Linked DNA regions of Struthio camelus. The protein of the gene in region 4 purifies or fractionates together with the protein of the main gene of each other region. This does not show direct contact. Links are inferred from orthologs where the notes say so. Each region holds a gene or a part of one and is shown on either strand. Other genes may lie near its edges.

Region 1 (7,528 bases), on a different chromosome or scaffold from region 4:
TGGGGCCTCAAGGTTACTGGGAATATGTTCGCTTTCTCACAATAGGAGCTCAAACACTTGAAGGGGTAATAACCTTTCCCTGCTGTTGACTGGATTGCTCAAAGCACTGCTAAACCACTTCAAGATTAATGATAAATCTTTCAAACATCTTAGAGCATAGAAAAACCTCAGAAGTGATCAGCTCATGGGTTTGATACAGGCTTTATTCCAAATTCAAATCAAATTTTAGCTAAAAATTGGAAAGGACCACTTTGCCATTCAGGAATGGTTGCTGGGAATGTGAACTTCCAGGCAGATTTCATTGTGTGCTGCGATGAGGAAATAAATGCTAGGTAGTAGTAATTACACAGACCTTTCAGTCACATAGCGATTGATTTGGGGGAGGACTGTATTTCATATTTCAAGACAGATGAGATACTCCAAGAAAACTTTTTAGTATATTTTCTTTCATAGAGCTGCCTTTTTCTATGGCACTTAATTTTTGCTGCCATCTGCTCATGCAATGAGGATCTTTCCTCTACTCATTTTTTTTTGATATTTCAGATGCATGGAGATTTTTATAAAATATCATTGTGGATAAGTCAATGCTGATACTAATAATTTTCCAAAGGAAAAGCCATTGTAACATTTTATACTACTGCGTATACCCAGAAAGAGTGCACTAACAAACAAACAAAGTAGAAACCAATATTGTCCTACACAGTAAAGCATAGAAATATAAACATGTGGAATGCAAATACACTTTCTAAAACTGCATAAAATAAGAATTTCAGACATTACTAACTCTCATTTTATTACCAGTATTTTTTTCCCCTTCTTACACTTTATTAGTCTGGAATGATATGTGTGACACAGGTGAAATATAAGGCATATGCTTTGCACAGTGGTTTTCCTGAAAACACCATCAAACAAGCAAGACACACAAAAATATGTATAGACTCTAGATCTCCAGATTAAAATGTTACCAATCCATAATACTACTTTATGTTTTTAATAGCTAAAGTATTGGACACATATTCACTAATTAATGTTCCTTATATGTATTAATCTTTGGAAGACATGTAATTATCCTCCTTCTACACATAGAGAACTAAAACATAGAAATTATAAAGTAAGAATTCTTTTAGGTCTGAGTAATTACGATCATAGTATTTTCCCTTAAAACTTTGCATCCTGCTACAAAGATCTGAATGACCGAGTAATTCTCCTTTCTCTTTCTACCTCTTGCCTCAGCTGCTATTTCAACAGAGATCCCCACAAGCGTGGGTGCAGACTAAAGCTGTTTATAAAATTAAAAAAGCATGGTATTATTTAAGCTGAGAGGCCCTTCAAACCATGTTTGTACAGCAGCCGAGTGGAGAGTTTTGCATGCTCAGCACTTCTGAAAACTCAGCGCTACACAATTTTTCGCCTATATAGCATTTTTAGAGAAAATGAATGGAAGAATCAACATATTCTTATTTAGCTATAGATCTTTGATTGGTCTGTACTTAAGCTAATAAGCATAATTATTTATTTGGTATAAATAAGACATTCTTCACTGAAGATTGTTTTTGCAGCTCATGGCAGAAATCTTGAAGAAAAATACTGACTGCGAATGAAATAATTCAACTGCAGAAATAATTTTTGAGCAGGGCCAAAAAGATTGTCTTTGACATAAGCTATTTAATTCTTCCTTTTTTGTGTGTGATTGCAGTAAAGGCTCTTGGAAAATGTGTAGCATAAAGAAATTACAATCACTGGAGGAAGAAAGAAAAAAGAAAGAAAGGACAGGTATCAGTAGATTCAGGGTCACAAATGTAATGAAGGCAAAAGTACATGATTACCCAAGGCTCCAATCTTTCAAAAGGTCATTCTATGCACATCCTATCAGTATTAGATAAAATTTCATAGAGAGCATAAAAATTAGAGTTTGCTTACTCTTTCAGAATTCAGTTTAGAAATCGGTGCTTTCAGCTCCACTATTCTTAGATCACATGTACTCAGCAAAATGTATGAGGCGTTTCTGGTTTGACAGACGTGTTACAAGAAGCCATTCCTGCTGAACGTCTTTTCTTAAACTTCTCATTGATTTTATTAGGAGTTTTGTATGTGGAATATCTCCAGGAATGGGCTGCAGCTGCCAGTACCCAAAATCTCTGGTTGTAAGAAGCTGTTCCACTCACCCTGAGACTGCTGAGTAAGGATTGGAAGACAAAGAATAGCAGGTAGAGATAGCAGCACAGGGTCAGGGGGAAAATTTCAATAGAAGAAAGGAAAGGGAGGGGGGAAGGAAGGAAGGAAGAAAAGATAAGTTAAAAGTTGCTGTAAAGTAAGGGAAAGTGCAAACAGCAGACTATACAAAGACAGGAAAGAAGGATCCAGCATTTAAATCCAGTGTTTAACCAAAGTGATTTAAAAAGTAGTTGATAGCTTACAAACAGGAAGAAAAGTAATATGCAGAAATTGTCTATTCCCGCAATACAGACTATTGTGAGAATGGTGAAACATAGGCCAGAGACCAAATATACGGTCTTGGAAGAGCCATGCGGACCCAGCTGGGACTGTGGATTGAACCACTGCATGTCCTCGCATTTGGAAAAATATATGCTTGTGATGGCAGGAGAGGTAATTCAGCTTTGTTCTTTACATTTGCATGTGTCAATGCTGCTGCAAACCAGAAAGTCAGAGTCTGGTTAACTATCATGATATAATGTGGGGAAAAAAAAATCACCTCACAAAGCGCCGGTCATCATTTCCATTCATAAGCATAGCGCACAGTGTAAATACAGAATTGACAAGATAAACGCAACCAACTGCATTTTGAATGGAGTTAGGGTGACATCTTGTGACTAGCTGATAAAATTATAAAACTGGGTTTTCTTGGCTTCATTTCTCAAATTTCTTTTCTCATACTTTTATCTAAACAGGAAAAATACTGCCATATGAGATACTGCCGTATGAGATAGGGTCTGAATGCATAATGCTAACTGCCGTAGTTGTTCTGCTCTTTTAATGAACTCTTACGCATTCTTATTCTACATGTTTTGATGATTTGTTTGAAAGCGCTTGGCCAAAAACAAAATGCAGTGTGCAAGAGTTCACCTTGGAAGCTGAAGCAGATGCGCTGCTCTGCAAGAACTGCTCTGACCTGTTTCCTCTGGAAACGTCATTCTAACCTCAAGACGGTATCCAAAACAAATTCCAGGTTCTGCCTTTGCAGCCTTCCTGTATGCCGCTTTGGATGTCATCATATTGGCTCACATGCCGAAAAAGTGGCACTCGGCATATGTTTGCGTCAGCCCGAAGTGCCCTTAACAGAAAGTAACGGTTTGGTCGACGAAGAGAGGTCAGCTCTCCCAGCAGGTCAGTCACGGTGGTAGCCAAGGTGAGAGGAAGGAACGTTACCGGTGCAAAACTCATACTAAAATGTTAACGTTAGCCAAGGTAACACTTTAGATCGCTGGAGCACATTAGAGAGGAGCCCCTGCCCGGCGGCATCGCCGTGCGGGAGCGCGTTCGCTGTCCATCACCAACGCTTCTCCTGTCAACCGGCGCGTCGCCGCGGCGACGGGGGAAGGCGGGAGCCGGCGCTACCTCACGGGAAACGCGGTTTAAAAACTATAGAGCTCTTGTAGGGAGAAACACAACCCTCGGGGACGGCTTGGCTCAGCCAGCCCCCATCTGGCCTGGCGGCGGTGTCCCGTGAGCCAGCAGCCGGCGTCGAGCCCGCCATGGCGCCCGCCCCGCCCCGCCTCGTCCCGTCCGGGCGCCGCCACCAGGGGGCGCTGCGCGGCGCTGATGTGGCGGCCGCCGCCGGGCCGTACCATGGCGCGCGGCGGCGCCGCTCGCGGGGAGGGGGCAGCCCCCCCTCCCCCCGCCGGGTTCTACCCGCGCCTGAGCACAAGCGCGAGGGTGTCGGCTCGGCACCGCGCGCCTCCCCCTCTTCCATAAGCTTGGTAGCCCCTTCGGGCGAGCCCATGACGGAGCGTTTGTAGGGGGGGCCGTAGACGGGTTTCGTTTCAGGGTGCTGCCCTGTCATCTTCCGCCCTACCGTTCACCAGGGAGACACGCCGAGTTATCGGCGCAGGAAGACTTCATGTGCCGTCCGTGCAGTTAAATGTCACGATGCCTCCCTCTTTCCACTTTCCCAAAAATGGTTCAGGCGAACCCCACCTCGGGAGGCTGGAAGGAGCCGCCATGTTGGACTCAACCACCGCGAGGGGCGAAACGGGGGAAGTCGTGACCACCGGAAGCAGAGAAGAGCGGAGACCGCCGCTGGCCCCGGGAGCAGCGGGAGGCGAGGGAGATAGTGACTTATTCTCCTTCCGCTCCCGCTCCGAGCGGCGTGGAAAGAAGAAAGGCAGCTAGCGGGTGCTGCGGCGGGGGAGGGCTTCCCCCCCCGCCGGTTGATCGGCGCCGCCGCGCGGTGCCCGCTGGGCCGCGCGCACATGGCCCGGCGGTAGGAGCCTCCCCGCCCCTCCCCCGCTCCTTTCGTCCGTCGCGCTTGAGGTGGGAGCGCGCGGCCGGCGGCGGCCCCAGCAGCCGCCCCCCACCCCCCCCATGCAGGACACCGAGGAGAGCCCGGCGGCCGCCGCCGCGCCCCAGGCCGAGGGGCCCGGCGAGGAGCCCGAGCAGCCCGGCGGGCCCCCCGCGCCGCCCGCGGAGCCGCAGCCAGAGGAGCCGGGAGAGGAGCAGGAAGAGGGCGAGTCTGAGGCGCCGCCGGGTCCTCCCGAGTCACCACAGCCGCCGCTCGCCGCCGAGGAGGCCGCCGTCGCGGAGCAGCCCGAGCCGGAGCCGCAGCCGCCGTCCGGCCGACAGAGCCCCGAGAAGGCGGAGGCCGCGCCCGAGGCCGAGCCGCCGGCCGGGCCTGAGGCCGCGCCCGAGCCGCCGGCCGAGGCCGAGGCGGAGCCGGTAGCCGAGGCCGGGCCTGAGGCCGAGCCGGTAGCCGAGGCCGAGGCCGGGCCCGAGCCGCCGGCCGAGGCCGAGCCGCCGGCCGAGCCCAGCGCGGCGGAGGAGGGGGAAGGGGAGGGGGAAGCGGCGCCCGCCGAGCCCGAGGACGAGCTCTCCTTCAGCGACCCCGAGGATTTCGTGGACGACATCAGCGACGAAGGTGCGGCCGGGAGCGGGCGGCCGGGCGGGCCCGGGCCTGGCCGCGCGGGAAGGGAGAGGCGGAGGCGGCCGAGGCCCGAGCCGGGGCGCGGGGAGCCGTCGAGCCCGGCCGGCTGGGCCCGGCCTCCCGCCGCGGGCAGGCGGAGAGGGGCCCGGCGCAGCGCTGGGGAGCGCGCAGCTCCTCCGCGCCAGTGCTGCGCGGCCCCGGGGACAAACGCAGCGAGCGCCTCGGGGGCGTCTTGCGTCCAGCGGGCTGTGACCGAGTCCCGCTGCAGGAGCTCGTTGTGAGGCGGAGAGTCCAGCCGGGACTCTGCCCGCGCCCCAGTCCGGCCGGCCTGGCGGCTGCTGGGCGCACGGCGGTCTCGGCCCGCCTTACACGGCGGTGCAGTGCTGGTCGCAATGGTTGTACCAACTACGACGTCTGCACTGTAGCAACGCTTCTTAAGCGCAATTTCTTCTTGCGTATCTGTGCACCTTGCCACGCTGCTTAATTGCCGTTGTTCTTAAATTTACCGTTAAGACCTAAGTATCGATCCATGGGCTGTCCCGACCAAGTGGAATCATCAACCTGGGTGCTTTCTGTGTGGCTCTGTTAGTTAACCTGAACTGTGAAAACAATTTCTAAATAGTCGATGAGATTTAATGAACTCGACTTCTTTGTTTTTCAACACCTCCATATGGAATTCTGCAGATGAACAGCGTGAGTTTGAGAAGAGTTACTGCTCAGTAAGAGTTGTCATAGGTACTCTGTGGCAAGAAAATATGGAAAAGCTGTTTCTGATGTTTGAAAGTTCAGACTGAAGCTCTTTAAAATGACTGGATATTGACTCTTAACATGAGTGAACCCCTGTGTGTTTACATAGATAATTATGGGAAGAACTAATTTTGGTGTAAGGGAGTTAGAGCTCTAATATCTTTGTTTCTTCCAGATGAGTCGTTCTTGATAAACTATTTCACTTCTTGAACAGCAGAAGTGTTTATCTTTTTAACCAATACTTATTCTGACATATGTGATCTCATGGGCCTCTTGTAGTAGTTATGTATGTCAGAACTGGAAAATGTTTCTTTCAGCATTTGGTAGTTCGTTCATAAGTCAGTCGTTTCGATTGGCAGTGAAGTGTGGGTGGTGTATGTGCCTTCTAGTATTCCAGTCCTATGTTTAGTTTAATGGACGATCAGGAGAGTATCATAGGTTAAGAAAACATTTTTTTCTGAATTCAGCAGTTTGTATCTCTTCTCACTTCTGTGTTTCTTAAATCTACTTTGGCAAAATTGTCTGCAGGAGTATAGCTAGATTCTTTTGGTCTAATCAAGTGTTTGCTTGATGTGCTTTGTCTACACTTGGGATGATTATGCTCATTTCTGTCTTTTTCCCCAAATGAGGCAGACTGCCCATCCTCACGCTTTCTATTATTAAGGATGAATCTGATTAACTTTTCAGCTATATGAGTGACATCATTTTAGTGACCAATTTACAGTGTTTAAAACTGCTGGTTTGGCTTTTCCACGTGCACGTGTTATTTCTTGAGCTGTCTCCTTCCTTTCTCTTTACCTTCACAACTCCCTACGGAGAAAGGCAGTCCGTCAGTGTCACAGAGCCAGGGCTATTATAATGCTTAATGTAACATCACGTTTTTCAAAATACTTGGAACTAGAGCAGCTTTAGGATTGGACCGTCTCGGGTATGTTACTTTATTTAACGTTTTTCCAGAATGATGTTGGCACGGCAGAACAGCTGATCCAAGTTCAAGCAAGAAGGGATGTGTCAGATAACCGCTTTGGTGCAATGAAGCTTCAGTTCAGATTCTGGTAATGGTCCTTAAAACTGGCAGGTGAGGGTAGCTGTATACCCACCACACCCTCCTTTCCTAGTGGAGTAGGAGCTGGCTAGACCAGCTTCTTACTCTTTGAAGATTCCTTTGTTCACAATTTTGAACTTAAGGCAGAAGTGTGGTACAGTGTAGGTATTTGTCTTTCATCTGTTACAGTTCTCATTCAGTACAGGTGTATTGTGTGTACTTGCACAAGAATCTAAATACGTATTACTTGGTTGATCTACAGGCCTACAAAGTCTTTTGTGGGAAGTGGTTATGAAAAAAAAAAAGACTAATGGAGCCTAAATACAAATAATCCTTCTGCGTATATTTCTTTTTCTGTTGGAGGCTTATGTGGAAGTGACCTTGCTGTTCCTTGTAGAGCACTCTTGCATGTTATATTTAGGAAAAAATCTAAGATATGGGACTACTGGGTACGTAAGAGATATACATGTTGGCATTTTACTGTAATACTAGATTTTGAAATTCCTTCCTTCAGTCCTTACTTTTGTAGGCATAGTAGACGCTTCAGTGCATGTCTCCTAAATCCTACTCGATTGATTAGCCTATCCCTAACTTTGGTGTGTAGTTAACTACCTGGAGAATAGCTAAGTACTGGAAGA
Region 2 (7,722 bases), about 440 kb from region 4:
TTCCAAAAGAATGCATATGCTCAAATTACGTTTTCTCAGAATTGGAAAAAAAATCTGTTTTTTGCACACTGCATCTAACAGAAATATGTGACATGCAGCATTTCATGGTAGTGTAGAAGTCTTCCAATTCACTTGAAAAATAAATGCAACTACAGTACTCTTTCAGGATGTTATCAGCAGCTGCCACCTGCTTAATCTCTCTAGCTTTCTTTACTCTTGCAATAGAAAGAACAAACTGCCCTGAAAGTATGCATACAACTTCTATTAAAGACTTTCTAAGCCTCCTCCCGTTACAGATCTCAATGTTTTTCAAACATCTGCCCACACGTAACCTCTGAGGCAAATACCATTACCCCCACTTTAAAGAGGGGAAAACTGAAGTGCAGACAAAGTTTTGATTTTATTCCAATAAAAATCAATGGCAAGAGTCCAATCAATATCATCTGTGCAGCTTTAGTGCTAAAATTACATGATTATGGTCACATTGGAAGTCTGGAACAGAGAAGAGAGCTAAGCTGACTCTGTGCCCTGGGCCCAGCTACAAACCTTAGTAAGAAAGAATATAACCTCTCAGTCAAGGAGAACATTCAAGACTTTAAACTATGATCACTGAGTTTTATAGCACGCAGAGGATTGAATGACTAACTACAGAAAATCATAGGAAAAAAAATGTTTTTCTCTTGCAAGTACTTAGGTTGAGATTTTACGGTGCCAACATTCTTCCCATTACCTGAATAGTTACTAAAATCACAAGACCACCATAAATGGTCCCTCTTTATAGTTTTCTTATTTAGGATTTGTTTGAAGAATTAACAGCAATTTACAAACTTCCTTTTAGAAAGGAAATATTTATTTTCTAAATTAATATTACTTTTTTTTATTAGTAGCCCAACCTAATGCTGATTGAAGGCAACAGGAAACTTCTCACGAGTTCAAAGGGCACTGGATCGAATGATAGCTATCTCCTACAAATATAAGAAATATTTAAGTTTTCTTAGTTGGCTAGATTTTTGACCCTCTGGGATATAGCTGAGATTCCCAGGTTCCACTAATCAACAAAATTATGCAAAACTGAAGCAAGGACACTCCTTGGAGACTTGCGCTCAGAAGCTATTAGGGAATAAAGGAGCACAAGCCACAAACCACCATGCACACGTTTCAGAGTCAGCCGGTAGGCAAAAGGCCCTATCCAACCCACGTCCTTCACAGGAGTCTGAATAGCTTGACTAGATTGGGCACGTGGGACAATTAAATTAAGTGGCCTAAATCCCACTGGTTTTCCATAGTGCTCGGCTCCTAAATTATTTAAGCATTTTTGAAAACGTTCCGTATTGGCCTAAAGCACAACTATTCAGCGAGACGAAACTTCTATCAGGAGAGAAAATTCCTTGTCTGGAGGTTCACTCACTTGATGAGAACATAACTGAGATTTTACAACACAAACAAGTTTGATTACAAAGAGCAGAAATATCTTTCAGCTCATAACAGAGCTGTAAAATAACTTTGCAAAAGAACAAGAAAACAAACCTAGCAGCCTAATATACTGAAAATGTCATAATGTGGATTTCACATTACATTGAGGTACTAAAGATATAAAGGAAGCCTGTCGGTGCATTAAAGTCACTGCATCTTACGAATTACTATTATTTAGTTTGTTTAGATTATGATTTCAGTAGAATGACAAAAGAGCTTAAGTTAGTAGATAATGAAACCCTATGACTGTATTTAAATAACAAGCAAGAGTCTCTTAGAATTTAGTCTTTCTCTCCTGGAGATTTTCCAGAATCCTTTGCTATTCACTCCTACGTCCGAGGAAGCATGCCTTTGCTTTTCACTCCTACGTCCGAGGAAGCATGCCTTTGCTTAGGTAGGTTCCGTTGGCAATGATGAATTGAAAGACATTACCTCTTGCTAACAACACCCTAACAGGACATGTTGATCCTCAACACGATCTGCTATGAATAACCTCTGACCATCTACAATTATTTCTCTGCCCTGCTAGTTGTGGCAGTCAAATAAGAGGTGCTATGTGCACTAACACAGGACTTGCAAATCTAGGAGAGGAACTCAGGACCTTTCCGGTTTCCAGGGGAGTACACAATGGTTTCACTGTATATTTAACTCATGGTATAAGTTTTTTGAAATGAGATTTCAGAAATTTTCTCATGTAAACAGTAACATTGCCTTTGCCAGAATATTGATGAGCAGGGACCGCTCATCTGAAGCCCAGTTTTGGGAGGTGTCATCTCCTACCGTTTTCTTTAGATACTTCATTCTTTACTTCAGTCTGCGTGAATAATGACTGGAAACCCAGCTGCTAAACCAGCCAGTCCACCTGCTACCCTGTGTTAATAAGTGTGTAATTACGTTCACTCTCACTGAAGGTCTCATGATTCACCAAGATTTGTCTTCTGTAGAGACATCCACTGAAGAATACAGCGTGCGCATATAATTGTGACCATGGATCCTAATACTGGCAGGATAGACAAAACACTGATTTAGTAACTTTTTGGTATCTCTTCTGCCTAACAATAACATGAACCTGGTCCGTAGGCAGCAAGTTTTCAGTCGAAACTGCTCTAGAAAGTTTACTAAGATTTAAAGCGAGGAGGCTATAATAAATTCCAGTATTAATCCAAGACTCTGTCTGTGATGTTACCTTTTGACACTTTTCAGTGTGATGCTTCATGTTCATAATAGACATAACCCCAGGCAGACCATGGCTACCTCCAGTCTGTACGAATACACAAACTAGGTATGAGATCAAAAATAAAACGTGTGTTTGCCCTACTATCATCAAAGAGATATTTCTCAAACACTGTGTTCACGGACAAGGTTTAAGAGTATAAAATGTTCCCAGTTTTATCTCCGGTATAGTTATGGTCATTACCAGGATGACAATCCCGGATATTTGCTATAGTGCATCACATAAAGACAGAACTGATTCAGTGTCTCCAACCCTTTGCTTATCTAAAGGTAATGAAAGCAAACTCTTTCCTTTTTTAATTTCTGTAGTACAGAGGACAAAAAAAAAAAAAAAAAACTAGACACCTAATTCTAAGATGGCAATATTGTTTCAAAAATACATTTAAAGTATGTGGAAAACGATGGCGTACCTTCCTGAGCTTCTCACACGTCTTTTTCACTTAGGTGTGCAGATATACGAAGGTCTAATTGCAATACTTAAATAATATGTATATACATTCTCTGCTTTCTTAATAAGCATTCATGATTCTTAATTCAAAAATAAGAATTGAGTAGCATTACTTCTTCCATCTGGACCCAATGTCATTTTTAATAGGAAATCTAACCATGCCTGCCCTAACTTGTGCCCTACAACGTTCTTTCTTCAGTCCATCCCGTTTCTTTGATAACTTGCGGTTTATGGCTCCACGTAATCTGCTATCATCCATTTAAAAAGACCCCCAGTTATTACTGTGGGGCTCCCTAAATTACAAATAGAAGCAAGAAGCATCCTCGATATTTTCCACCAAACGTGGGCAGAAACTTGAAAGCATTATGGTGGATCAACAGAAGAGCTATGTTTTTGTCATTCAGTTGGGATGTTGACAAATCCTGTGCTATCTCTACAGATAATACTGCCCCAGTCGAGGCTACCATAGAAAAGAGCTAATATATATTTAACCTCTCAAAGATTCTCTCTATGGATATTCTAGATAATTCCTAAAAGGCTGGGTTTTTCAAGCATTGACTCCATTTGTTCATATATAATCACTATGGAAACAACTTCAGAAGTGACACACACAAACCCATCAAAACGAAGGGAAACACTGCTTACAGCTTATATTATTTGCCTACTTAAGAAATACCGATGAACGGTAAAAACCTGATCAGTGTATTAAAAGGATCAGTATTTTTTTTTTTCTAAAACGGCCTGAAAGCAAGGAGCACGGCCACTAGCCGTGTCATTGATTCAGTCCGCACGACGACGCCTCCCCTAACGGCACGGTTCTGCTTGACTTCAGGTTGCACTAACCTTTACACGGGCCTTGACAGCATTTTTCACGCTACACCACGAGCCGCAGCACATCACCGCGCCGTGTTTTGAGCAGCAGCCTAGCGAGCACTCTGCCTCACTCCCACAAACGCTCCCCAAATAGGCCTTCAGCCCGTTTAAAAATGTTCCACTTTTAACACCCCAGAACCATCTGCATGATTCAGTCAGCTGCCGCCTCGGAGCCAGGAAGATGAAGCATCGCTGCCTGCGCCTCCCCTGCCCACAGGCGAGCCGGCTCGGCTCTGTCTGCTCACGCCGGGGGCGGTCTCCACGCAGGACCGCAGCGCTCGCGTGGGCCGGGCCGCGGCGGCAGGGAGCCGCGGCCGGGGGGAGAGGGGGGGGGCTCCCGCCCTCCCGCCGCCGGCGCCACCATCTTCCTTCCCGTCACCTCGCGGCCTCCCGCCGCCGCCGCCGCCGCCGCTCCCCTCACCGGACTGCGGGGGGGGGGGGAGGGGGAGGGCTGCGGCCTGCGTTTGGCTCCGCCGGGGAAGGGGGGGGCGGAGAGGGCGACCCGCGGCCCAGCTCCACCGCCCCGAGGAAGCCAGGTGCCCCGCGCCCAGCCCCGGGCTCCAAGACCGCTGACATGGCGGGGGAAACGCAGCGCCCACCCCGCCCCGCTCCCCCTCTACCCCGCCCCCCGGCACTGCAGCAGGGGCCGGGTGGGAAACCCCGTGCGCAGGAGCGGGAGGGGGGGGGCGGAGAAGGAGGAAGGAGGGAGACGCAGTCACTCCGTCAATGCTGCAATATCCTTCCGCGAGGAAAAGTAGTGCCAGGCTCCGGCTCACCTCTTGGCCCCGAGAGGCTCAGAAACCTCTGTGGAGGATCTCGTAAAGTGTGTCGAGGGGAAGCTCTTGCGGAGTGGCCTCAAACGGGGGTTTTTCATGGTTTTTTTCCTGTGGTGTGAGACGCATATCCATGCGCGGCGAAGAGCGAAACGAGTCCGGCAGCGGGTGGCTATATAAAGCGGCCGCCGCGGAGGCTTTGCCTTTTCAGTTGAGGACAGAGCTGGTGTTCGGAACATGTCAGGCGGCTCCGCGGATTATAGCAGGTATGGCGCGGCGCACTGCGGCCCTGGGCCCTATATTTTGTACGGTAGGTCGATGAGTTGGGAAAAGGCGGTGGGGCGGGGAAAGGAGCGAGGTGATGTAGGGGCGGGTGGCCGCGCGCGCGAGACGGGGCTCTGAGGGCGGTTAGACAGCGCCCGGCGTCTCGGCTCCTCCCAGTTCTAGATGTTTCCGTCCCGTTTCCTTTTTTCCTCGGGGTTCAGCGAGCCTTTCGTTCCTTTCCCTGGGATTCGTTTCTTCGCCGTTGGCTCTCTTGGTAGCTTTCCTCTCTCCCCCCTTCTCTTCCCCCCCTTCCCCCCCCCCCCCGAAAGGGCTATTTTTATTTTACTCCGCTCGTCGCGTTGCGCTATGGCTTAAAAAGGCAGTTTCATAAAGGTGCCTTTCCCCGAAACCTTTTTTTCTTCTTTTCTCTTTCTCTTTCCGATCCTTCCCCCGCCACCGGTTCCGCCGTTGGTTCGCTCCGGGTTGCGGGCCCGGCTGAGGGCGAGACCATTTTTCTCCGGAGGGGGGAGGGGCGCGGCCCGCTGGGCGTTCGCCCGGCGCCTTCCTCCGCTCGCTCACCGTAGCCGGTTTGCGCAATCCCAGGGGTGGAGCTCTCGCGAGAGTTCCCCGGCTCTGACGCGGCTGGGGCGGGGGGGGGGTGCGTGCCGCAGCGGAGCCGCGGGTCCCCCCCCTCCCCCCCCCGACGCCTGGCGCTGCGGCTGAGCTGGCTTATAGTGCGCAATGGCGACCGTTTCCCTGCCGCTCGCCAGAGCTGCGGAGCCCAGCATGCAGAGCCCCGCCTCGGGCGGATGCCTTCCGTGAGGGGGGCGCTGTGCACTGGGACATGCAGTTGTTGCCGTGTCGGCTAGGTTTTTATAGGAATTAATGTTCATCGGGAGTTGTGCCACGTTGTTGGGGGGGAACGGTTTTCTAAAATCGGAAATCCGCTGTGAAGACTCCCTGCGGAACGAAGGCTTTGACGATCCTGTGTCACACTGAGAACTTTGGTAGTGACTGAAGCTGACTGAGGAATTGGGCTAGTGGCACCCATGCTAGTGGGGAGAGGATAGAAGACTTTGCACTGGCGAAATATCAAAGCACCTGCTAGAAAGATCTTTCACTGGTTCCAGTGTGATGCCAACGTGGCTTTTTGGCAGCCAAAGTGCCAGCTCCCTTCCGTGTGTTATTAACTACTGTGTTCACAGTTTCTTCTTTTTTGGTGACAGAGACCATGGCGGCCCAGAGGGAATGGACCCCGATGGTGTCATTGAGGTGAGCACATGTGATCTGACTTAAGAATTTAATCATTGCTGGAGATAAGTGTGATTGTTGTAATAATTTGACTTTTTTCTTTTTTGCAGAGCAATTGGAATGAGATTGTTGACAATTTTGATGATATGAATTTAAAAGAATCCCTTCTCAGGGGCATTTATGCTTATGGTTTTGAGAAGCCTTCAGCTATTCAGCAGAGAGCTATTATTCCATGTATCAAAGGTATGAAAAGTATAATCGACTCCTTTGTTGTTAACAGCAACATCAGATAATTAGGAAAGTGTTGTAAAATGGCTATACTGTTAGCTTTCTTAGTGTGTGATGTTACTGATTTTTAATCCTTACTGAACAAGTGACATGATGGTACACCATCTTTCGGGACTGACCTGAAATGGAGAGAACTCTTTAATACTGATCACTTATTTCAAAGGGAATAAAATAAAACTAAACATGAATGACCTGTGTGGGAGCAGTAAATGTATATCCTACTTTTTTTAGGGTATGATGTGATTGCTCAAGCTCAGTCAGGTACTGGCAAGACAGCCACATTTGCTATTTCCATCCTGCAGCAGTTGGAGATTGATCTCAAGGAGACCCAAGCACTAGTATTGGCCCCTACCAGAGAACTGGCTCAACAGGTATTGATAGTGTAGTTAAAAAAAAAAAAAAAGCTGCTTGTGTGTTGCATAGGTTTCAGGTTTCACAACTGTGGGACAATTAACAGACTTCTTAAGGGGCTGTAACTAATATCCATTCAGAACCCTTTTTGTGTTGAGTGATGGGGGAAGTAAACTGGCCTCTGTCCCACAAGTTCTCTGCCTGCTTTTGAAAAGTTCAGATGCCATGCATGTGGAGGGTATTCTGGGGCAGGGTTGCAGGTACCAGCTGCTATGCTGTTTATAGTTCTGAAGGAGCATCTTCAGCAGAATGGCAAAATACAAGACATGTTATTCAAGCACAGTGTTCTGAGTGGAAACAAAATGTACTTTTTTGGAAGCTGTTTGAACTTGCGTGCAGTTGTGCAACATGAAAACTGCAGTGCGCATGTGGTCAGTTCATTGTTTTTGTAACTTGTGATGTTTTTCTGACAAATGTTATATTGCATGTTTACTTCACTCTCCCAAGACGTGGTGTTCTGTTTTACTCGGTGGAAGTGCTTGAACAAAGCTATAGGATACTGCAGTTTTTAGGATGAACTGAAAACCTAGCTTGAGTGGATTTAAAAATTAAGAGAATAGAGAATTTTCAAGAGAATTCTTGAAAGGGGACAGAACTCAAAATGGAGTAGAAAATGGATTATATACAGCTTGCTATTTTTCAACTAGAATACACTGCAATGTCCGTGTGTTAAGTGAAGATTCTCCTTAAAAGTAAAACTAAATGTAC
Region 3 (7,721 bases), on a different chromosome or scaffold from region 4:
TTGCTTGACCAAACAAAACCAACCGACCAACCAAAAAAAAAAACCCAAAAACTTGTTGGACTTAAAATGCAAAGTAATTAGATTGATGGTTATTTCACACCATTATTTCTGTTCAGTCTGCTTTAATAGTCATTACAAATTTAGATCCTATGTACCTGAATCTCCCTACAACTCTAATCAGCATACATCTTTGAGAAGACTGAGATATGTGGACTAGGTAAGAATAACAGCTGGGTTGCATCCATGAGCATACAAAACTTCGAATTTTTTCCCTTCCTTACAGCACATAATGGTGTGTTTAACACTGCTTAGATATTATATAAAAAAAAAAAAGGCCGGAGAAAGCTCTACAAAAATCTTCCTTGTATACTGCTGAAAAACAAGCAGGAGGTGTGATAGCGAACAGTCCTACCTTTTTCAAGGCTGGAGAATCTTGAACTTCCACAGTTGCGATGTAGAACCATGATCTCTTATACTGGCCAAACACAAAGGCATGAAGCAATTTATTCTCATCTGTAAGGCAGCATTTTCTCAGCAATAGATTCCTCAGTTCAGCTGTTACGGACGGATAACACCAAACCCACAAAGCATCTCCATTGGTGTCTTTTTCTACGGTGGAAAGATGTTCACTGTGAGAACGCCAAACAGCAGTGAGGAAGTAAATCGATTGGTTAATCAGATTTGTTTCCTGGAATCAGATTAAAATTCCGTTTTACACTGACCCTAGGCATCCAGTTATGCTGCTGCTGCAGGCAGCTATTGTGCTACGAGTTTACTTTTCAAACGCTTATAAAAAAATCCACTCTTGACCTGCCTCACGAGATCCAGGACTAACTCGAGGAGTTTGAATAACACATTTATATAAGCAAGGTCCATAGGAACCAGATCAGCGTATTTACCACGTTTCCTGTTTTTCTCATTTCTGTTCTCATGGCCGAAACCGAGGAAGCCATGAACTTAAGGCTCCGGCTGTCCTTCGCGCTGTTGAGTTTCGTTACAACAAGACCAAACCGCGGCCCCGGCGAGCACGCAGCCCCCGGCAGAACCGCAGGACACGCAGCATACACGCCAGTGCTTCACTCTCGCCGGCATTTCGGGTGGTTACAGGGGCGTTTTAAGGGGGGGGGGGGAAGCAGCTTGCAGCGCGGCGAGGCGCCCGGGCGCGCCGAGCGGGGCTCTCCGGGGCTGCGCCCGGCACCCCGCCGCTTTCGGGCGCCGCCGCGGGGCCGCAGAGCCAGCCCGGCCCGCCCGGCCCGCCCGAGCGCCGCCGCGCCGGGCCGGAGAGCCCCGCCGGGCCGGGCCGGGCCGGGCCGGGCCCGCCGCAGCCCCAGCCCCAGCCCCAGCCCCAGCCCCAGCCCCAGCCCCGGCGCCGCGGCCCTTACCGACCAGCCCCACGCCCAGCAGCAGCTGCGTCTCCGGCTCTGCCATCTTCCGTCTCCCGCCCGCAGCCCCTCACCCGGGCCCGGGCCTGAGCCCCGGCCCTCGCCGCCGCCTTCCGCCCGCCGCCGCAAGCCCCGCCCCGGCCCGGCTCGGCCCGGCACGGCCCGGCTCGGCCCCGACGGAGCAGGCGGCGCCCCGTGTCGCCGTCGCCGTCCGCGGCGGGGCCGGGCCGGGCCGCCTCGCCCGTTGCCATCCCCTGCCGCCCGCCACGCGTCCGCCCGCGCTGGCATCGCGCTCACCCCGACGAGCGCCACCGGCTCCTTTTCTCTCTGCTTCTCCGGCCCTGCTGCCTGTCCCTGCCGCCCCTCCGGGCTGCAGCTGTGACGGCTGGCATCCGCTGCAGCCTGTCTCCTCCCCGGCTCTTTTTCAGTTACTTTTCAATCTGCTTTCGGGTAGAAAATGAACCCCCTAAACCCTTTGTCCGTTTCTTTGTGTCATTATTTTATAGATTTTTTTCATCACCTACATTTTTTAGCTCTGTAAATCACAGGATACAATTTATGTATTTTATTTATAAAATACAGACAAAATATATTACAATTTATGCAACTGATTTATTTATATATTACACAAAATAAGGTTGTATTGCTCACAGAATTTTCTTACTTTATCATCAACCATCTAGTCCTGTAACATCCAGAAGCTGTGCCTGATTATGCTTCATACGGAATGAAGCACAGCATTTACAGGCCTTGCAAATGCTTCTATAAAGTATTCATAAAGGCCTGTTTATGCTTGAAAGATAGCCTGATTAAGGTAGGGAATATTCATAAAGCATAACAGCTATTTCTGAATAATTCCGTGCATGGATGCGTTTATTCAAGAATAAAAGCATCTTGTTTTATAGTTTGGATTAACTGAACTGAATATGCCTGAATATTCCATATGTGAAGCCATAGTGCACAAAACACGCTAATAATAGAGAGCAGTAACAGATTTGGAATAATTTGTCACATTTCCAAAATACCCAGGATAACTAGAGGAGTATCAGAAGAAACAGTCCAGTCCTGGGAGGGGGGCCAGAGCTGTCAAGGGTCTCGCCTGGCAAGGGAAAGCACCAAAGGGTAGTCTCTCAAACGATTTTCACACAGGCAGTCTTAAAGCATAAGCATTTAGTATGCTTATCCGCCATTTAGCGAAAGACTTAAGTAGTCAGATAGTAAAAGCTGTTCCTGATACAAAGTTGTCTAAGTCAGTCCTGGAGGGCTTTCAAGAATTTCAGAGAGATTCAAAGTGAAGACAGTGGGCTACATAATAGCAAATGATGGTATTAAGTAGCAATAAATACAAAGTAGCACACCTGAGCTCTACTACCAGAGGGTGTAAGGCCCTAGGACAAGCACTGGCTGCTGTGATAGGGGCACAGGCGGCCTTCAGATGCTAGGAGGCTGCTCATTCAGATCTGTGTAGTGTCCGTGTTCGGTTCTCGTCTTACAGACTTTTAAATTAATTTTATGAACACAAAAAAAGGACTTGTTCAACACTGTGTGTAGCTTAACGAACTCTACCGAATGTGTAAATGTGGTTTACACATGTGGTTTACCTAGACTGCGGGAGATAGTACAGAACGCAGATTGTATTAAAATAACATCATATAAATCAATAGCGTGCCCTCATGGGGAACACTGCGTACAACACTGGTCACCTGATCTCAAAAAGACACCAAGGACACATGGAGAAACTCTCAAGCAAAGAGAGACTGATAAAGCAGATTTTTTTTTCCTTTCCTCCAGAATGGAGACACATGCAATAGAGTGAAAAGGGCCTAGTGTGGAGCACCAGGGGGTTGAGTTACATGGATATACTGATGACGCTAGAACTTCCATACATTGATTGTGTATTTTTCCTTCTTATTTTAATTAGTTTTCTATTTAGCAATAAACTGGGATTACAAGACAACATTAAAAATAATGTTTTAAATGTGGGTTGCATAATAGTCATGAAACTTTTCTGGTGGCCATGTAAGATGGTAACTGCAAAAAGTACACAAAAAGAAATGAAGTAAGACTTCTTGTTTGTAAACAGAAAGTACACAGAAAGAAGTGTACTGAAACAGAAGATCAATAGACAACAATAGGCTGTCTTTAATCATCATACTTCATCTAATTTTAGAAAATCATACTTAGTCATACTTAAGAAACTGGTGCTAGACAGCTGGGTCTGCAGAGGGTCACAGCTACAGTCACGAGGTGTTATCAGCGCTCTTCTAGTGCAAGGTCTGCATTTCTGCTGAAAGACTAAAAACTCTTTAATGTTAAATGCCTCAGTGGAGATTCACTCTTCTGGTATTTACTAACTCAAAATACCGTATTTGTCACACATTTAATTGCTGCTCTTCTACTGGGTGTTTTTGCTGCTGTTATATGACTTTCATACACTTTCATAGTTTCTGTTGTTTTTTCCAACTGCCAAAATAGAATTTTTCAGTGAGAAAACACAGTCGCATTTCTGAAAAATATGCACTGACACTGGTAGCTATCCCACATAAACTCACATTACTACTCCTGCACAGAACTAAAGCTATTGGAATGCCTGCGTTCCTCTGAAACAGTTTCCCAAATTTTGAAGATAAAACTTTCATCAGAGGAATGAAGACATGGAGACAGAAGCAGGGCCTTTGTGCAATTTCTTAACCACTTCAGAAGTACTATTTCCGAACTGGCTGAACAGGTTGCCAAGAGCAAATGCGCGGCATGTATAATGACTTCTCTGCCAAAACAGTCTTCCACGTTCAGCTTATTTAGCTAATTCAAAAACCTAATTCTAACTTAGCCTAATGTCTTCACGGAGCTCCGCAAGCCAGTTCCCTGATTTGGAGGACCGCTACCCCCACAAAGGTACCTGGCTGGGTCAGGAACTGTCCTTACCTGAGTGATGTGTGCGGCTTGTAACCTAATAACACACCACCTGCCCCCAAGGCCACCTCCTGCAGACAGACTGGTGCCTCTGTGCCAGGCACTCCTGTCAGGAAGCGCAGCCACATCTAGCAGATTTCTCCTCCTGTCACTTCTCCCGGTAGCACAGCCCCGGTCTGGGTTGAACCAGCAGCTTCACAGATTCCCAGTCCGACGGCAGCTCTCGGAGAGGACCGCCGCGGCGCACGTGTCCGTTAGGAACCGATGGCGAACACCAACCGCCTTAACCTCACACGCCGTCTTGTACTTGGCGGCCAGGCCCGGGGCGGGGAGGGAGGCTCCGGACACCCGCCTCAGGGCCCGGCCCGGCGCAGCGCGGCCCGCCCCGCCCGGCCCCAACGGTCGCGACGCCGCCCGGCCCCGCGCGCGCCCGCCAGGAGGGGTTTCCGCTTCCGCAGACGTCAGCGCGCGCGGGTCACGGGGGCGCCCTCCCTTTCCGGCCTCGCAGGCTGCCTGGCTGGGCGCACGGAGCGAGCCGCCGCCGCCGCCGCCCTCGCTCTGTGAGGAGACGCCGCCGCCATCATGCCGGTGTATTTTCAGCGGCCCGAGAACGCCCTGAAGCGGGCGAACGGTGGGTGCGGGCGGCGCCGCGGCCCCGCCAGTGTTTCTTCCCCCCCCCCCCTCCCGCCGCCCGCCCGTCCATGGCGGCAGCGTGCGCCCCTCCCCTCCCCCCCCCCGGCCGGCCGGCCGGCCCGGGCCCGCCCCGCCTCCCGCGCGCGCCGTCCCGCCGCCTCCCCCCCCTTCCCCCCGCCCGGGCGGCCGTTAACCGCCCCGCGCCGCCGCCCTGCCGTGAGGGAAGGGCGCGGGCCCGCCGGCGGAGGCCGCGCCGCATGGCGGAGGCCAGGCCGGGCCCAGGCGGCCGGGGGAGCAGGCCCGGCTCCGCCTCCCCGCCGGGCCACCCTGCGGGCGGCGGCCGGCCCCGGGCGAAGGGGTCCCGGCGGCTCTGCGGCGCCGCTGCCTCTGCCCCCTGGCCGCCGCCGGCGTTGCTGTGGTTTGTGAGGACGGCGGGTGGCTCTGCTCGCCCGAGGGCTGGCTCCCCGTCTGCTCCCCCCTGCGCGGCGGCGGCGGCGGCTCCGCTGTGTCCGGCCCGGCTTCTACGTGCGCTCCAGGATGGTGTTTTTGTTAAACCCGAGCTGGTCCCAGGACGTGCTTTTTCCGTGTGGGCTTCGGATTTAGTGATCCCACCGCTCATTAGTGACTCTAGCGAGAATGCAGATAATTAAACTCCTTAAGTGTTAGGCAGGCTGATGCCTTTCAGGTTAAACATACAGCTTTAGCGTTTCTTTTTTTATAGCAGCCTATTTTGATTGGTCAACAAGAGACCACTTAGACTTCTCATCAGTACAGGGCTGCTTGCAAGAAGCAGATTTAAAGACATCCCAAAATTACAGAGGATATATGGATCTTAGAACGACACCTGAAGAGGCTGGGTAGTCTGGGAATTCTGTTTAGCTCAGGTGTTCAATTTTCTAACAACAAGAAAATGTTAAATAAAATACTGAATATTCTCAACGTTTCTAGTTTAAAGTTATTTTTAAAATCATTTCTGCCTAAACAAAAGAGAAAATCAAGTCCAGTAACTCCAGTGAGGAAGTTGTATATTAGCAGTCTTTTTACTGGTGAAGTGCATATATCAAAGTAGTATATTCTCTACTTAGGAGTTCTGAGGTTTAATTAAAGTTGGTGAGGAAGTCACATTGTTACCTTACTGACTAAAAACTGTTCCTTAAATCTGAGATTTTATCTTTTCTTTCCTGGAATTAAAGAACAGTGTAAGGTTTTAAATTGACATTTCTTGTACTGCTGCAAGTCCATTAAAATCTGATGAGTTGAAGGACTGGGAGAGAGAAGTGTACTCTTGACAAACACAAACAAACCTAAACTTCAGCAGACTGACTAGAAAAAATGACAAGAAAGGTCAAGGCTTTGTAAACTGTGGAGGCTTCGATTTAGTCGTATCTGAGTATAAAAGAAGCTGAGAGGGTTAGCTTGTTCCTAAGCTAAATTATATGTCATGGAAAGTACTTTAATGTTAAACTGATATTTCAAACTTGGGAAACGCAGTGCAGCTTCCTGAGTTCTAGTTTTTGTGTTTATATGTAAGGCTTAAGTTAGCATTTAGAAGTATTTTATGCTCTGGGTTCCTCGGTGATTTCAGCATACATACAGGATGTTTAGAAGCAAAAAGAGCTTGAATTGTTGTAGATGTGTATATTTTAAGAAAGATTGTTTTTCCTCCCAAACAACAGATGCAGGTCAAAGCCAACCCATAGCTGTTGCTAGTATCTTAGCCAGCTTCTGTAACAACTTAGTTTTTTCACATTGAAACTTTAGCTTACTTAAGGACTTGCCTTAACACTAGTTTAGTTGTTCCTATGTATCAGCTAGTTTATGTCCAGTCATAGATTCAATTTTTGTTTTTTGGATACCTTTTAACATATATAGCAATATAACCCATGATATAATGAATTGGAAGGAAAAAAGGCATTCTGATAGCTATTCAGGAGCTAACATTTTAAATTTGCTCTGTTACAGTTCTTTTTTTTCTCTAACTTACAGTTTCAACAATACGGTGTAGTGATGTGTGCTGTCTTTGACTTTTCAGGTTCACTTTGCTTTTATGAAAGTCTTTGTTAAATTAGCCTTAGTTATTTGACTTACTGGCAATAACTTGCTTGACCAGAATAAATTAAAATTTCAAAACAACTTGAATTAATTTTGTACTTTGTCCAGTTGGTTATCAGCCACAAAGAATCGTGGCTGGAGCAGCCTAGCATTGTTGCAAGAATTCAACTTGCTCTTCAGGTTTATTTTCATAAATAAAAGACTGTAAAGCTGAGCAGTAATTGCTTCAAAAGCAGCTCTGAGACAGAATAATGGCCTAAATTATAAGATGGAGTGTAACTTTATTAAAACTTTCTTGGTGAATAATTAAAAAAAAAAAAAACTACTGAAAACTGTCACGTTGTAACCTTATTTTTCTGTAAATATAACCCTAAACTTCATCTGTAAAGGAACAAGTTCATTTTAGGCAAGCTCATTATTTAAATAAATTAATCACCAAATATGTGGAATTATGGTTCATAATTAAAATATTATTGCTGTTTTTGGACTATAATTTTTAGCCATGTTTGGCTTCAGTTCTGACATTCCAAATCCTAGAACTCTGGTTATATATATATACTTTTGAAAGATTCACGATGAGCGCACAGCAAGCTCCCTCCTCTTTTTGAAGCTCTGTTTGTATGCCTGAGCACTGTGAACAGGTCCTTACTTTCCTCCTTTAATCCATTCTGACATTCTTTCTTTAGGAAAGCAGTCATTTCTAAGGTACTTTATGGAAAGTAGTCCATACTTCTTCCTTTT
Region 4 (6,901 bases):
CCCCCCCAGGGGCTGGCACTGCCACCCTGGCTGCCAGCACCCACGTGCCAGGGGAGCCCAGGCACCCTCCGGGCTCTCCCCTCGGGCCACGGCCCTGACAAACCCCAGCCAGATCCCAGGCGGGACTTGGCACCCGGTGCCGCTCTCCCTGCCCCAGTGCAAAGGCTGCCTGGGCAGGAAGGAGCAGAGGTGCCCCCCGCTCCGGGAGGTGCCCCCTTCACCCCCACGGCGGTTCGGAGCACCGGCCACGGCCAGGGCAAGCTCGCTCCCCGGCCGGACCACCCGAAGGAGCAGCCCGTCGTGCCTGCCTGTAACCTGACGCCCGGCCGCGTCAGCGCTCGCAGCCCTGCCGGCCCCCCAGCGCCGCAGGCAGGCTGCGGCTGGGGCGCGGGGCACCCCCCGGCCCCCCCGCAGGGCAGCGCCGGGCACATCCCACCAACGCTACTGCCCCGGCGCCTGCCAGCACCCTCAGGCCATGGGGTGCCCCATCCCCTGCACCCCCAGGGCCACGTCCCCAGCACGGGGGGGGGGGGGGGGGGGGACACAGAGCCTGCACGGCCTTTGGGGGACCCCAGACACCAACACCGCCAGCCTCAAGCCCAGGCAGGGATCAGTCCCGCTCCGATTTCAGGCCTCAGAGAAGGCTGCACCCTAGCGCTCGCCCTGTCCCCTGGCTCCCGGGGGCGCTGAGTGCCAGGCATGGGCCCCAGGAACCCGCGCTGGCACCCCACCGCCCAGCGCGCCCGCCGCGCGTGCCCAGACGCCCCTGCCCTGCCCTGGGAAGCGGCAGCGTGGGCCATTTTAAAAAGACAGCTTGGTGCTGGCACAAGTTACTTGGAAAAGGAAAGGGGAGGGGGGTTAAAAAAAACACGGAAGGGAAGGGAGCGGGGAACTCCTGGGGACAGCCACGCTTCCAGGACACTGCCATGCTCCCAAAACCGCACCGCTCTCCCCGCCACAAGTCTCGGCGCAGACAGGCGGCAAACCCAGCTTCCCCGGCCCCCCAGCACAGGCACAACCGGCAGAGAACTAGATACTCACCCCCCCGCGGGAAAAACCTGGGCCGACTGAGCGGGCCTGCAGAGACCTTTCATCCGACTGACTTGGAGAGAAAGGAGGAAAGAGAGAAGGGGGGAGAGAGAGAGAGGGAGAAAAGGGAAAGAGGGTGGGAGGGGGAGAGAAAAGTCAGCCTGCAAACCTGCCGGCGCTGGGAGAGGACAGCCCCGCGGCGCAGACATGGGGGACGCCGGGGCCCGGCCGGGAGCACGAGGCCGCCGGGGCTGGGTTGGGCTGGGCTGGGATGGCCGGGCGTGCTGCAGTGCAGAGCCGCCGAGCCCCGGAGCACCCGAAACCCCACCCACAGGCACGCCGGGCGCCAGGCCCCGCGCCCCGAGCCACCCTGGCGCGCGTGCCGCCAGACCCCCCCGCCGGCCCCCTCCTCGCACCGGGGAAACCTCCCCGGCCGGACGTGCACAAATAAAACATCCGGGAAGTCCCGGTGTGGCGGTGGCCCGTCAACGGGACGGATCTCCGCCGGGAGGGGAAGGGGAGCAGCCGCGGGTGGCGGGGGGTCGCAACGGGAGGGAGCTGCTGGCTCGGGCCGCCGTGCCCGCCGAGCGCTGCGAGACGCCCCTTTTCGTGGCCTCGGAGCGGCCGGAGCCCCCGGCGGGGCAGGAGGGGCCTGCTCCACCCACCGCCCCGCCAGGCGTCCCCGGGGCTGGCGGCCGACCGACCCGACCCGCCGGCCCGAGACCGTCGGGGCCGCGAGCGAGCGAGGCCGGGGCAGGCGCCGCCTGGGGCGTTTGGGGACGGGAACGGGGCGAAGCCCCCGCGCCGCCCCAGGCAGCCCCCGCGGACGCCCCGCCAGGCAGCGGCCTCTCCGGGGCCACGGGCCGGAGCCCGGCCCAAAGGGGCCGAGACCGCACTCCGGTGCCAGCTCCGACCGGGCCGCTCCGGAGGCGCCGCCCGTCGGTCGGTCCGTCCGCGGGCTCCCCTCCGGCAGGCCGGGGCAGGGGGCGGTTCGCCCGCCCGCCCGCGGTTTGACGACAGTGCCCGGGGCAGGACGGGCCGCGGCGGCCGGCGGCTGACGCAGCCCCCGGACCGGCCCCGCCGGCGCCTCCGGGGAGCCGCGATGCCGCCTCGCCGGCGGGGCCGCCCGACCCCGCTGCCGCCCCGCCGGGCCGGGCCGGGCGGCACCATCCCCGCGGGAGGGCGGCGAGGCCGCCGTGACACCGGCCCCGGGAGGCCCCGCGGCGCGGGCAGGGCCCCGGCCGGGCCGCCGGCAGCCGCGCCGCTGGGGGCCGGCCCCGGCACCGGGGCGCGGCTGGGGGGGAAAGAGGCCTCGGCGGCGGCCCCGCCGGCAGCGGGCCCGGCGGCCCCCGGAGCGGCGCGGCGGCCGGGCCCGGTGCCGCATCCGGCCGGGCCCGCTCCCCCCCGCGGCGGCGGCGGCCTCTGCCAAGGACACGTGTCACTGCCGGCCGCCGCCATGGCGCGCCGGGAAGCACCGGCAGCGCGGGCCGACGGGGCGGCGGCGGGGCCCGGCGAGCGCGCACCACGTGGGGCGGCGGCAGCGGGGCCTAAGCGGGGCGCGGCGGCGGGAGCACGTGCGCAGGCGGCGGCGGGCGGCGGCGGGGCCGGCACGTGGGCGCGGAGCGGCGGCGCCCGGGCGGGCCGGGCCGGGCCGGGCCGGGGGCGCCGGGTGGGGGAGGGGCGGGGGCCGGCGGCGGGGCGGCGCCCACGTGGTGGCGGCGGCGGCGGCGGGGCCCGGCGGCGCGCGGAGCGGCGCGGCGCGGCGGGGCCCGGCGGAGGCGGCCGGTGCCGGTGCCCCCCCGCCTCCCCCCCCCCGGCGCGGCGCCCCGCCCCCCGCCCGGTTACCTTCAGTCTCCTTCAGCGCGCGCGGCCCGACGCAGCCGCAGCGCAGCGCAGCACGACCATTTCCGGAGCCGCGCCGCGCGCAGGGGCGGGGCCACGCGCCGCCGCCGCGGGGGGAGGGGCGGGAGGCGGCCGCCGCTGCCGCCGCCTGAAGCCTGTCTGGGCGCCGCCCCGCCGCACGTGACGCCGGCGCGCCGGGCCCGCTCCCCCCCGCCCCCTCGCCCCGTCACGTGACGGGGCGGGGCCGGGTACGCGCCCCGCCCTCGCCGCCGCGGCGGGGCCCGCGTGGGACCGCCCCTTCCCGCCGTAAACCACGCCCGCCGCCGTGGCCACGCCCGCCGCCCCGGTCCCCCGTGCGGCAGCACGTGGCGGCGCCGCCGCGGCACCCGGCACCCACGCGGCACTGCACCCGGCCCCCCCGCGGGACACCCCATCCGGCACCGACCCGGCACCCACGCGGCCCCCCTTGGACACCACGCCCGGCACCGACCCGGCACCGACCCGGCACCGACCGGCCTCCGCGGGACATCCCACCCTGCACCCACGCGGCCCCCCGTAGGACACCCCACCGGGCACCGCACCCGTTATCGCACGCCTCCGCGGGACATCCCATCCGGCCCCTGCGGGACACCGCTCCCGGCACCCACGCGGCACCGCACCCAGCCTCCGCAGGACACCCCACCGGGCACCCATGCGGCACCCACCCAGTCCCCGTGGGACACCATACCTGGCACCCACCCGTCATCATCCTGGCCCCCTGTGGGACACCGCACCCAGCACCGACTCGGCCCCTTACAGGACACCCCACTCGGCACCCACCGGGATCCAGCACCCACCCAGCATCAACCCAGCATTCCCCCGGCACGCTGTGGGACACAGCACCCACCCAACACTTCTCCGGTTGCAGCACCCCGTGGGACATGGCACCCAGCACCCCTCCTGTGCCCTCCGTTCCCCTGTTCCCATCCTGCAGCCACCCTGCACCCCTCAGGACAGGACGTCCTGTCTGCACCCTGCACCCATCCTGCATCCAGAAACAGCGTCCTGCACTCACCCTGCACCCCCTGGAGAGAGCACCCAGACTGCATCCATCCCTGGGACGCTGCAGCCAGCACCAACCCTGCACCCCGCAGGCTAGGGCCCAGCACCCTGCACGTACCCACCAACCAGCTTTCCAGCCAACCTCCCCCCGTGCCCACCCTGCACCCACCTACCACCCCGGCGCTGCACAGCACTGCACCCACCACCCTACACCCACCCTCGTGCCTGGGACATCGCACCCAGCACTCCTGCAGCTGGCACCCATCCTGCACCCACCACCCTAACCCTCTGGGGTGGGACACAGCACCCCCACACCCTGCACCTGGGACATGGGACACAATACCCTGTGCCCACCCCTGGGGCCCAGTGCCAGCACCCAACCCTGCACCCCTCAGGCCTCACACGAAGCCCAGCACACCATACCCAACCTCTCTGCACCCTCGCGCCGGCCCCACAGGATCCCAGGCCCCAGCAGGGTGCCGAGCACCCTCCAGGCCTGGCCTCACTCCTGCTGCCCTGCGTGGGGCACAGCAGCAGGTCTGCGGGTGACGAGGCCCCCACCCCTCCTCGGGGAGGGTGGCGGGTGCCCCCGGGGTTGGGACCTGAGCCAAGGGAGGACAGAAGGATGCTGACACGCAGCAGCACAAAGCCAGGCCCTGGCTAGAGATGTCCCCAGGATCCAGCCACACTGTCCCCAGAGGCTGACGCAGGGCTGGGACGCTGGGGCAGTGCCAGGCACCTGCAGGGGACAGCCAGCAGGTCCCCTTTGTCCCCTTGAGCACCAGCAGTCCCAGGCACCCAGGCCATAGCCCCCACTCTGCGAAGAGGCCCAGCTGAGCTGCGGGACCCCCAGGCATCGGGGAAGCGCGCAGCTCGCCAGGCAGCAGGACAGGGCACCCTGCTTGGTGTGGCAGGGTGGTGGTACCAGTATTTTGAGAAACAGCTTAGGGTTTTCCTCTCTTTCTTAAGAAACTCCCCCCACCCCATCTCCTTCAGCTTGCCCCAAGAGTTATTTGAACCCTGATCCTGGTCCCACGAGGGCTCCAAAGGAATTGCACTCCTACGAGCTGCACCGAAAGCCGGCAACAGCCCAGCGCACCCCAGGGAGCAGTTGAGCCCCACTATCAGCCAGCAGAGACTCCACATGACGAGAGGCCCAGCTCAGGACAGGCAGTGCCAGACACCCACCTCACCACGGGACAGGGAGTCTGTGCTGACGCAGGCGCGGGGGGGAAGGGAAGTTGCACAACGCCGGCGTGGGTGCCACGCAGGCACGCCCTGCCGCACCGGCCACACGCGCCCAGGGCACCGTGCAGGCACGGACACACACAGGGCAAGGAGAAACAGGAGCCGGAACAAGGCCACGGCCTAACAAGGCCGAGACCCACACCAGTCTGGGAACTTGCACGCCTGCAGCCCCCCGTGGGGGCAGGGCGAGCTCACAGGGGCTCTCTGCCTTCACCTCCTGCCTCTTGGGGCCTGCACTGCACCCAGCCTCTGAGAGCATCAGCTACCCAAGGGCCCAGCAGAACCCGGGGAGCTGCCCATCACTGTCCATCCTGGCAGAAGCAGCAGAGAAAGGGTAACTTTAAGGGGGTCCGAACCTGCTCCAGCGCCACAGTGTCCCTCTAAGGGAGACTTGGCTAGGGCTCCGTGGAAAGGAGCCTATTCTTCCCTGCTCCGGCTGGGGGAAGATCTTGGCCTGCATCAGCTCAGGGCTCCAGGCTTAACATGGACATGGCCTCACTGCAGTGTACCCAGTCTGGCCAGGGCAGAGGGGATGAGAGCCCATCCTGTGCCTCCTGTGCAGGGACAGCATGGCAGCACCAGAGTCTCCGCATAGTTTATTTCCTCAAATCACAGTAACAAACAAATCACCTTCTCCCCCCCCCCCACCCCAACCACCTGCCCCGCGTCCTGTCCCCCACCCTATCCCCATTCCCCGGTAGCTCAAACATCGTAGTTGGGGTTCTTGCGTAGGATGACGAATCCCTCCAGGATGGGTGTCACGGGCACGTGCTCCTCTGTGGCCAGCTCTGCCCGCTCTCCATGTGCCAGCAGCACTGGTGTTGTGTGAGTCTGGAAGCCAGTAATGGTTTTTGGCTTTCCTGCCTGGCCCACCACATCCACAGCCTGCAAGAGAGGAGCGAGATGAAGGCCAAGAACACACAGGGACCCCCAAGCACCCTGTCCCAGGCTCTGGCTGCCCCCTTACCTGTCCTACCCGAACCGATACAGGTAGAGGTCGCAGCTCCTCGTCAAAGGTGACCAGCATGCGGGGCTGCATGGCAGCAACGAGCCCATAGAGAACGTAGTGGGACTTGCCCAGGATAACTGGAAGGAAGACGTAAGGGTCAGGGCAGAGCCCATCCCACGGAGCAGAGGGGTGGCAGGAAGGGGGGCGGCCCCACAGTACTCACTGTTGCGCACGTCCAGGAAGGACACAAGGACAGTCAGCAGCCCAGCCACAGCCACCTGGCTCATGAGCTGGCGATCGCTGTGGTAGGGGCACAGGGTGAGCGTCCCCTTGCCCAGGTGGGTCAGCCCCTGATGGGGTAGAGAAAGCATGAGAGAGAGCTGTTAGGCAGCGCCTGGGACCCCCCAGACCTGCCAGCCAAGGGGGTGACAGCCCAGGGACAGCACTCCCCTCCAACGCACAGGACAGCCACCCCAACCTCCCCTTCCCCTCCACAAGCAGCAAGTGTGGGATTTTCACCTGGGCCAGCCGCACCATGAAGAGGTTGTTGGGGTCTTTGGCGTGGTACTGGGCAAGCTGCCGCAGCATTGCTGCTAGCCGGGCATTGTTGGTACCTGGAGAAGAGGAGGTGCAGATAGAGATCAGGGAACACAGCCACCACGGCCCTAGTTTTCCGCTTTCCCCTCCTCAGGGTGCAGGGCATCCAGCCACAAACCCTGGGACAGGCAAACACGCAGCTTCCAGCAAGCCCAGTTCCCTCCACCCGAAAGGCCTCGTCCAGCCCTCTGATCA

Evidence for each region.
Region 1: the proteins of EIF4G1 (region 4) and EIF3B purify together in Homo sapiens (affinity purification with western blotting; 7 studies listed by BioGRID and IntAct, with this or other methods). This does not show direct contact. The link is inferred for Struthio camelus from reciprocal best matches to the Homo sapiens genes EIF4G1 and EIF3B.
Region 2: the proteins of EIF4G1 (region 4) and EIF4A2 purify together in Homo sapiens (affinity purification with mass spectrometry; 6 studies listed by BioGRID and IntAct, with this or other methods). This does not show direct contact. The link is inferred for Struthio camelus from reciprocal best matches to the Homo sapiens genes EIF4G1 and EIF4A2.
Region 3: the proteins of EIF4G1 (region 4) and EIF3A purify together in Homo sapiens (affinity purification with western blotting; 4 studies listed by BioGRID, with this or other methods). This does not show direct contact. The link is inferred for Struthio camelus from reciprocal best matches to the Homo sapiens genes EIF4G1 and EIF3A.

The regions. Positions count from the first base shown.
Region 1 is NC_090956.1:6,231,862-6,239,389, reverse strand, and holds the start of EIF3B (eukaryotic translation initiation factor 3 subunit B), read left to right. Parts: upstream 1-4,527; 5' UTR 4,528-4,542; coding exon 4,543-5,092; intron 5,093-7,528.
Region 2 is NC_090950.1:23,112,836-23,120,557, forward strand, and holds the start of EIF4A2 (eukaryotic initiation factor 4A-II), read left to right. Parts: upstream 1-4,705; 5' UTR 4,706-5,037; coding exon 5,038-5,066; intron 5,067-6,290; coding exon 6,291-6,336; intron 6,337-6,425; coding exon 6,426-6,558; intron 6,559-6,686; exon of another isoform or gene 6,687-6,757; intron 6,758-6,834; coding exon 6,835-6,974; intron 6,975-7,722. UniProt on the Homo sapiens protein: ATP-dependent RNA helicase which is a subunit of the eIF4F complex involved in cap recognition and is required for mRNA binding to ribosome.
Region 3 is NC_090948.1:7,407,556-7,415,276, forward strand, and holds the start of EIF3A (eukaryotic translation initiation factor 3 subunit A), read left to right. Parts: upstream 1-4,707; 5' UTR 4,708-4,877; coding exon 4,878-4,926; intron 4,927-7,721. Other genes in the region: DENND10 (DENN domain-containing protein 10), read right to left, coding at 413-629, 1,680-1,774. UniProt on the Homo sapiens protein: RNA-binding component of the eukaryotic translation initiation factor 3 (eIF-3) complex, which is required for several steps in the initiation of protein synthesis.
Region 4 is NC_090950.1:22,673,784-22,680,684, reverse strand, and holds the start of EIF4G1 (eukaryotic translation initiation factor 4 gamma 1), read right to left. Parts: upstream 3,001-6,901; 5' UTR 2,875-3,000; intron 1,103-2,874; exon of another isoform or gene 1,042-1,102; intron 1-1,041. Other genes in the region: PSMD2 (26S proteasome non-ATPase regulatory subunit 2), read right to left, coding at 5,863-6,045, 6,128-6,246, 6,333-6,459, 6,629-6,723.